Linked DNA regions of Oryctolagus cuniculus. The protein of the gene in region 1 purifies or fractionates together with the protein of each later gene. This does not show direct contact. Links are inferred from orthologs where the notes say so. Each region holds a gene or a part of one and is shown in the gene's direction. Other genes may lie near its edges.

The links. Proteins that work in one complex are often made in the same cells at the same time.
Region 2: the proteins of CD81 (region 1) and IGSF8 purify together in Homo sapiens (co-immunoprecipitation; 3 studies listed by BioGRID and IntAct, with this or other methods). This does not show direct contact. The link is inferred for Oryctolagus cuniculus from reciprocal best matches to the Homo sapiens genes CD81 and IGSF8.

The regions. Positions count from the first base shown.
Region 1 is NC_091432.1:1,172,522-1,176,829, reverse strand, and holds the start of CD81 (CD81 antigen), read left to right. Parts: upstream 1-1,503; 5' UTR 1,504-1,730; coding exon 1,731-1,796; intron 1,797-3,015; exon of another isoform or gene 3,016-3,275; intron 3,276-4,308. UniProt on the Homo sapiens protein: Structural component of specialized membrane microdomains known as tetraspanin-enriched microdomains (TERMs), which act as platforms for receptor clustering and signaling.
Region 2 is NC_091438.1:38,828,302-38,832,475, forward strand, and holds the end of IGSF8 (immunoglobulin superfamily member 8), read left to right. Parts: intron 1-58; coding exon 59-436; intron 437-1,005; coding exon 1,006-1,467; intron 1,468-1,808; coding exon 1,809-2,216; intron 2,217-2,374; coding exon 2,375-2,788; intron 2,789-3,069; coding exon 3,070-3,185; 3' UTR 3,186-3,200; intron 3,201-3,388; 3' UTR 3,389-3,662; downstream 3,663-4,174. UniProt on the Homo sapiens protein: Member of the immunoglobulin superfamily (IgSF) that links tetraspanin-enriched microdomains to the actin cytoskeleton and plays several important roles in innate and adaptive immunity.

The DNA.
Region 1 (4,308 bases):
ACAGTGACACGTGCCCTGTCCTCACTGCCCTGGGCCCCCAGCACACATGAGGTCAAGGGCATGGGACACCCACCAGGCCCCTGAGGTGTCCCCCACCAGCCTACGGAGCCGGGGTTCCACTGTCGGCAGCCACCGGGCCCAGCTACACCCCCAGGCCACCCCACCCCACCGTGACCAAAACGGAGCACCAGCCCATCTGGGCGTCAGGCTCTCATCCCTGCTCGGCTCCGTCGGCCACTGCAGCCTCACCCATCTACCTGCAAGGCTCCTCTCCCCTGTCAGCCCCTCCCCCCATCAAGCATCCCGGCCTGGGCTCCTGGGTGGGGCAGCACCTGTCTCAGGCCCTCCAGGGGAGGGGTCCTGGCTGCCCCCCCAGCCAGCACCTGGCCCAGCTCCTGCCACACAAAGGGGCCAGGAAATGTGAGACGCGTGACCAAGCCAAGGACAGGACAGGACAGGGCGGCCGGGTGACCGGCCTCGGACCGAGGGCTCCGCCTGGCAGGAAGCGTTCCTGGCACCGGGGACAGCGGGGAGCTCACCAGACGCCGGCTCTTCTGGCCCCTCCCACCCACAAAGGCCTCTCGGAGACCAGACGTCCAGCGGGACCTTGTGCCTGCAGCTCACACGTTGGCGTGGGACACAACCACGAGCACCCACCGGCCAGCAGGAAAACCATGGGAGGAGTCAGCCCGGGGAGGACACACCCACGCAGACAGCCCCCAGCCACCATCTGCACGGGGCAGGGGCAGGACTCAGACCGGCCCCACCTGGGTCCGGGCGAGCGCCTGCCCAGGACGCAGCCTCGGGTGCACGTGGGCCTGCATGACCTGCTTGGGGCCGATGAGGAGGGGCCGATGAGGGGCCAGCGCTGGCTGGGGCCTGGGGCCTGGGAGAAAGCACCCCTCGCTGTCCCATCAGTCCCCACTGCCTCACCAGACCCCAGCTGCGAGGGCAGGGCCGGGGAGTGGCAGGGCGGGTGGGTGCGAGCTGCCACGGTGGCTCCCGCGCTGGTCGCGCTGGTCTGGGGCCCAGCTGGTGACCTTTGCCGAGGCTGCTGGGGGCGGCAGCAACGGCTTTCCCTAGCACAGGAACTGGCTGCCGAGAATTCGGGTCCAGACCTTCAGGCCCACCCCTGGTCTGCCCTGGACAGCAAGAGGAGCAGAGCTCCGGTGCGTGCAGAGCCATCCGCCACTGCATCACCTCCACCGGGAGCCCTCGGGGATTACGACAGGCGCCTGAGCAGGGGGAAGGGGAGGTCTTGCTCCCAGACACGTGCTGCATGCCCACGCTCGGGGGACACTCGCCCGGCCAGCGGCTGGGGACGCGACGGTCTCGGGTGACCGGACCCAGGAAGCCGCAGCGCCCTCCTCCCACCCTCACCCCGCCCCCTCTCCCACCCGGCTCTGTCCCGCGGCCGGGGCTCCGGGCGCCGGGGGCGGGGCCGGGCCGGGGGCGGGGCCGCGCTGTCCTATAAGCGGCGCGGAGGGGGCGCGCGCCCGGCCAGAGAGCGAGCGCGCACAGCGGCGGCGGCGGCGGCGGCGACCCCTCCGTGCTACCGGCCAGGCCTCCCGCGCCCCGCGCCCCGCGCGTCCCGCTCGCCGCGCTCCGAGCCCGGGGCTCGCCGGCCCCCGCCGCCCTCCAGGCCCCGCGCCCGGCCCGGCCCCGCGCCCCGGCCCGCCCGCCGCCCAGGCCCGGCCCGCGCCCGCAGGCCGCCCGCCGCCCGCGCCGCCATGGGGGTGGAAGGCTGCACCAAGTGCATCAAGTACCTGCTGTTCGTCTTCAATTTCGTCTTCTGGGTGAGCAGCGGGGCGGGGGGCGGGGCGCGGCCCGCCGAGGGCAGGCGCGCAGGCCGCGCGCTAGGCCCCGCGGAGGGGGCGCGGGCGGCCGTCGAGTTGCGGAGCCACCTGTGGGCTCCGGGCGCGGGTGGGGGGCGTCCAGGGCCGCCGAAGCCCCTGGCGGCGGGCCCGGCGGCGGGGACCTCTGCGTGTCGGGGCCCAGCCCCGCGGCCCGGCGGAGCGTCTGGGTAGGGGGCGCGGGGCTCTGTCCGCTCTGTGCCCGGGACAGGTCGGCGCGCGTGGCCCGGAGCCGCGTCCCCAGCCGCAGTGCCCGGGACCACCCGGCGTGGCGCGGGCGGAGGGGCTTGCCCCGCCCCCATGAGCTCATCGGGGCCACCGCCCCGGAATGGGCCGCGAGGGGAGGGGGCGCACGCTCTGGGCCGGCGCCTGGGGCCCTTCTTCCGCGCCGCGCCCTGAGGGCAAGTCGCCCTCTGGTCCCTGGGGGCAGCGCACCGGGGTTCCTGGGGGCCCAGCGCCCCTCTTCGCTGGCGCTGCGCGTCCGGTCCCGCCTGGCCCCGGGGGGCTGTGGACGCTCGGGGCGGGGAGGGCCCGCGTTGGGGCGGAGGGCGGCACGGGTGCGGGCTGGGGCTCCCCGCTCTGCAGGGAGGGGTCGGCGCGGGCTGGTCCTGGGGGAACTTTCTTGGCTGCCGGGGAGGCGGCCCGTGATGTTTTCGCCTTTTGTTTCCATTTCCTGTCGGCCCTGGAATTGGGGGTGGGGGGTGGAGAGGCCGAGCGCGGTGGGGGGGGGCCAGACGGCCGGCCCCTGCCCCTGCCCCTGCCCCTGCCCCCCGGGTCTGGCCCTTCCTGCAGGGCACTGGGCGCCGTCCTGGCAGGCTCCGCACTCCCCAAGTTGAGGCAGGAGGGTCAACTTTTAGCGCGGGCCCCGGGACATCTGCTTCGCATCTGGACAGCTGCCGGGCCAGCGAGGACCTCGGGCAGGGAGAACAGAGACAGGGCTGCCGGCTCCGGGGACACTGCGCTCCCGCGTGGGGTGGCGGTGAGGCCATCTGGCCGGCCCAGCCTGGCCCTGGGGCCTTGGCCAAAGAGGAGGTGGCATCTGTGTGGGTCAGTGTTTGCCTGCCAGGGCCCAGACGCGTAGGAGGTGACGGGCACAGGGGGCGTCCCTCTGCTGGCCCGGGGAGGGGGGTGACGGGATGGGGGCGGGGCCTCCTCCTGGAGATGTTTGTGCCTTGGGCTGTGCAGCAGTGCCAGCAGCTGGGAGATCTCCGGGGGCGCGCCCCCCAGGGAGCTGGGCCGCTTCCCGGTTGGTGGAGGCTGGAGCACACCCCCCGGGGCGCTGGTTCCGAGGCCCCTCCCGCCCGGCCTGTCCCGGGGGCCCCCACCGGCCTGTCCCCGGGGCCCCCACCCGGCTCCCTGCACTGCAGAGCCCCCTCTGAGCGGGGTCTTCGTGGACTTCCTGGTGGCTGGCAGGCTGCTCGTGTGAGTGAGGGGCTTGGCGCAGGGACGGCTCCGGAAAAGGAGGCTGGGCATGGCAGCCGCCGTGAAGCTCGGCCAAGGAGAGCCGGGCCGGGCCTGGCCCAGGAGGAAATGCCTGGGCGCGGGGGTGCCCGCCCCACGGGGCCTGTTGTGGATGGAGGGCCCTGGGGGCTTGCGGGGGTGTGGCGGGACAGGTGGGCACTGCACGTCTGGATGGGCGCTTTGTAAGATGTTTATTGGGAAGTCAAAGAGGCAGAGAGAGACGCCCGTCCTCTGATTCGCTCCTCAGACGCCTGCAGGGGTCACGCCAGGCTGAAGCTGGGGAAGCCCAGTCCAGGGCCCCGCACCTGCTGCCCTCCCAGGGTGCAGCTCGGCAGGCAGCTGGAGCCGGCTCTCAACCCAGGGCTCCCACATGGGCTGCGGGCGCCCCGGGCGGCATTGTCAGCCTTGTGCCAGGTGCCGGCCCCTGCGTGGGGCACTTTTTAAAAGTCCCATTTCAGGAGCCGCCTCGAGGGGGGAGGCAGCCGTGGGAGCCTGGCAGCCCCGGGGAGGAAGGTGTCCCACAGGTGCTCGTCTTCCTCCCATCGCTGGCCATGTGCAGTGAGGCGTCCTGGCCAGCGAGGTCGTGGGCTCCCCGGCGGCCCGAGCAGAGAGCACCGTGCGGATGCCCTTGGGCTGGGTCCCGGAGCTCCTGGGATGGGGCAGGGGTGCGTAGAGCTGGCCTGCACGGCAGGTGTGACGGTGGCCAGGTGTCCTGAGAGGTACAGCCGGTGGCTGCCTTCCAGTGGCAGATGAAGCCCTGGGAACAGGCGCTCGATTTACTTCTGCCAGATGGCACGTGACCGTCCGTCACCCCGCCAGCGCATCTGCTCCCTGCCTCGGACGGCGACCCCAGCAGGCTGTGTCGGGGGGACTCGGCACGGGGGCGACTGGACTCCCCCAGTGCCCCCACACCGACCCCACGCCGGGGAGACAGCCATTCGGCCCGGCCTGCAGAGGAGAGAGTGCATGGTTGCGCCTGCGTTGGGTCCTCAGC
Region 2 (4,174 bases), on another chromosome or scaffold:
GTAGCTGGGGACATGGAATGGGGACCCAGGCTTCCCAACTCCTTGTGCTTTCCCATAGGAGTCGGATGCGGTGCCCGGGAGGTGCTGGTCCCCGAGGGGCCCCTGTACCGCGTGGCTGGCACGGCTGTCTCCATCTCCTGCAATGTGAGTGGCTATGAGGGCCCTGCCCAGCAGGACTTCGAGTGGTTCCTGTACAGACCTGAGGCCCCAGATGCTGCCCTGGGCATTGTCAGTACCAGGGATACCCGGTTCTCCTACGCCATCTTCGGGCCCCGTGTGGCTGCCGGTGAAGTGCAGGTGCAGCGTCTCCAGGGTGATGCTGTGCTGCTCAAGATCGCGCGCCTGCAGGCCCAGGACGCAGGGATTTACGAGTGCTACACACCTTCCACTGATACCCGCTACCTGGGCAGCTACAGCGGCAAGGTGGAGCTTCGAGGTACAGGGCCCTGGGATGGGGCAGAAAGTCAGGGCCAGGTGGGACCTATCTAACGCAGAGAGGCTAAGTGACTCACAAAGTCACCCGTGGTGGCTGGGGTGGGACTCAAACCCAGATTCCTTCATTGCAGTCCACTGCTCTCCTAGCAAACTCCCTCATGGGAGAAGGGCAAGTGTGTCTAAGCTGTGCTGTCTACTCTCCGCTCCCCAGTAGGGCGGGGCAGCCTGAGGGGCTGAGTGGGCTGTACTCCTGAGAGTCCAGAGGTGGGGTAGGACTTAGACCAGCTGACATTCTTGCCCTTGTACACTTGTTGGTGTTTTCTCAGTATTTCAATGTGGGGTTGCTCTGGAACATAACGGTGAGTAGGCAATGGGCTGGTTCTACCAAATTCAGCAAGTGTTTATTGAGCTGCCGTGGTGTGCCCAGTGCCATGCTTGGCACCACTGAGTTACAGAAGAACTAACACAACATGCAGTCTCTGCTCTCCAGGGGCTCGCGCTGGTCTGCTTAGGGAAACAGGACAAGAGCTGCCAGCTCCCGGCCCTCCCTCACTCCTTCTCCCCTCTCAGTTCTTCCAGATATGCTACAGGTGTCTGCTGCACCGCCGGGGCCCCGAGGCCGCCAGGCCCCAGCCTCCCCTCCACGCCTGACAGTGCACGAGGGCCAGGAGCTGGCCCTGGGCTGCCTGGCGCGGACGAGCACACAGAAGCACACACACCTGGCCGTGTCCTTTGGACGAGCCGTGCCCGAGGCGCCCGTGGGGCGAGCGACTCTGCAGGAAGTGGTGGGACTTCGTTCCGACCTGGCCGTGGAGGCCGGGGCTCCCTATGCTGAGCGGCTGGCTGCAGGGGAGCTGCGGCTGGGCAAGGAGGGGAGCGATCGGTACCGCATGGTGGTGGGGGGCGCGCAGGCCGAGGACGCGGGCACCTACCACTGCACTGCCGCGGAGTGGATTCAGGATCCTGATGGCAGCTGGGCCCAGATCGCGGAGAAGAGGGCTGTCCTGGCCCAGGTGGACGTGCAGACGCTGTGTGAGTGCCCACACCCCCACCCTGGAGCTCCAAGGCCCGCTGTCCTCTCTCCCAGTGGACTCCAAGCCACCTCTGACTTCAGGGAACTCATTTTCCAAAGAGCGGGTGACCCTGTCAGCTTCGTTTCCCTCTCCACCTGTGACAGCTTTTCTCTGCCCAGGTGTTAGGGGAGGAGATAGCAGGGCCATGGCTGGGGATGAGCATCCTGTCCCTGGGCGCAGGAGATGGTGACACCCAGTGAGGGGCAGACAGGAGGCCTCCAAATTGCTGCCGTCGGGGAAGGAACCACAGTTGTGGAGTCGGGTGCCACTGTGACATTCTTCTCCCCTCCCGTGTTTCAGCCAGCCAACTGGCAGTGACCGTGGGGCCTGGAGAGCGTCGCATCGGCCCAGGGGAGCCCTTGGAGCTGCTGTGCAACGTGTCCGGGGCACTGCCCCCACCAGGCCGTCATGCTGCGTACTCCGTGGGCTGGGAGATGGCACCTGCAGGGGCACCGGGGCCTGGCCGCCTGGTAGCCCAGCTGGACACAGAGGGCGTGGGCAGCCTGGGCCCTGGCTACGAGGGCCGGCACATTGCCATGGAGAAGGTGGCGTCCAGGACCTATCGGCTACGGCTAGAGGCTGCCAGGCCTGCTGATGCAGGCACCTACCGCTGCCTCGCCAAAGCCTATGTTCGAGGCTCTGGGACCCGGCTTCGTGAGGCAGCCAGTGCTCGCTCCCGGCCTCTCCCTGTGCATGTGCGGGAGGAAGGTGAGGGGCTCATAGAACCTTCTGTTTCCATGCCCTCTCCTTGTTCATCGGCCTCATGCTCCTCTTCCACTGTAATTATGGGGATACCCTGAGTTTCCTGGGACCTAACCCCCTGTCCCTGCCCCTCCGCCCTCTGATTCCTGTCCTCTGTTTTGCAGGTGTGGTGCTGGAGGCCGTGGCATGGCTGGCAGGGGGCACAGTGTACAGGGGGGAGACTGCCTCCCTGTTGTGCAACATCTCTGTGCGGGGCGGCCCCCCAGGGCTGCGGCTGGCTGCCAGCTGGTGGGTGGAGCGACCAGAGGAGGGGGAACTGAGCTCTTCCCCTGCCCAGCTGGTGGGCGGCGTGGGCCAGGACGGGGTGGCAGAGCTGGGGGTCCGGCCCGGAGGAGGCCCTGTCAGCGTGGAGCTGGTGGGGCCCCGAAGCCATCGGCTGAGACTGCACAGCTTGGGGCCCGAGGATGAGGGCGTGTACCACTGCGCCCCCAGTGCCTGGGTGCAGCATGCAGACTACAGCTGGTACCAGGCTGGCAGTGCCCGCTCCGGGCCCGTCACAGTCTACCCCTACACGCATGGTGAGTGGGCCCCACCCTCCAGCCCCTGCCTCATTGTCCCTTTCCTGCCTCTGAGCCTCCTGCCGCCATCCTCTCTCTCTCCTCCATGTAGCCTGCTGAAAGGTCTCGGGAACCCAGTGTTTGCCCCTTGCGCCCACCTGTACCCACGTCCTCATATGCGGAGAGGGCAGCAGTGGGCGGGGGAGGGACCGTGTGCACAGGGGAGCTGGGGGATGAGCGTGACGGTCGGGGGTGGGAGACGAGGGCACCCCCTCTGAACTGAACCACCCTCTCTCACCCAGCCCTAGACACCCTGTTAGTGCCCATGCTGGTGGGAACAGGGGTAGCTCTAGTGACTGGCGCCATCGTCCTTGGCACCATCACCTGCTGTTTCATGAAGAGGCTGCGGAAGCGGTGATCCCTCACTCCCCAGGTGAGGGGGAAAAACAGCCCCCACCCCATCTTGTCTTCCTTAGGACTCCTGCCCACAAGTCCTAAGCTGAACTACTCCCTCCCCACCTGGGGGAAGAGGAGGCTGCTCAGCTCTGCAGCATCCCGTTAGGGAGGGAGGCCCGCCGGCCCAGGGCTCTCTGACCTCAGCCCCCTCCACGCTTTCTCCAGTTCTTGCAGGTGTTGACTGTCTTCTGGCCCAGCTCCAAGCCCTCTGTCTGGTTGCCTGGACACCCTCGCCCGCTGCCCCCCTCCCTGTTAATTTATTTGACCTACTCTCCCAACCCAGAGTGGGAGACATGGCCCCTACTTCCCACTCCTCACCTCCCAAACGCCTCCCTCTGGCTGCCTGTTCTTGATCTCATACCTGCCCCCTGGGGAGGCCATTCCCTGTCCCAGTCCCAGAATTAGTTTTTCTAAAATGTGAATAAACTGTTTTATACAACCCAGGCCTGGCTGTGTCTTCCCCCAGCATGAGGCTGTAGGAGGCTGGGGCGGGGTGGGGTGGGGTGGTAGGCAGGTTGGGGCCTGACAGCCTATTCTGGACAACCCAGGCTTCTCTCCCCACCACAGACACCATCTGGCCTCTGTGGGCTGTGCCGCCCACTCCAGGAGGGGACACCTGGGTCCCATCTGTTGCCGGAATTGTCAGTGTCGAGCCAACTCCTCACTGGGCTTCTGCTTGGGAGAGAGTATGGAAAGGGAGGGGGAGTTCTGGCTGAGCTTTAGCCCTGCCCTCGCCATCCACCCATGTTAGAGGGCAAGGGCTTCCGGGGGGCGGGGCCTTTCCTGAGCTCCCCAGACTCCTCCACTCCCCTCTGCCAGGCTCATTCTCCTGGTCAGGCTAGTCTTAGACCTGACTCCTCCCAGCAGCCCCTGGGGCATCTTTTTCCTCCTGACCTTAATTATCCTGTCTGGCAGCAGGACAATAGGAGCCCAGAGCGCAGCCACCTGGGT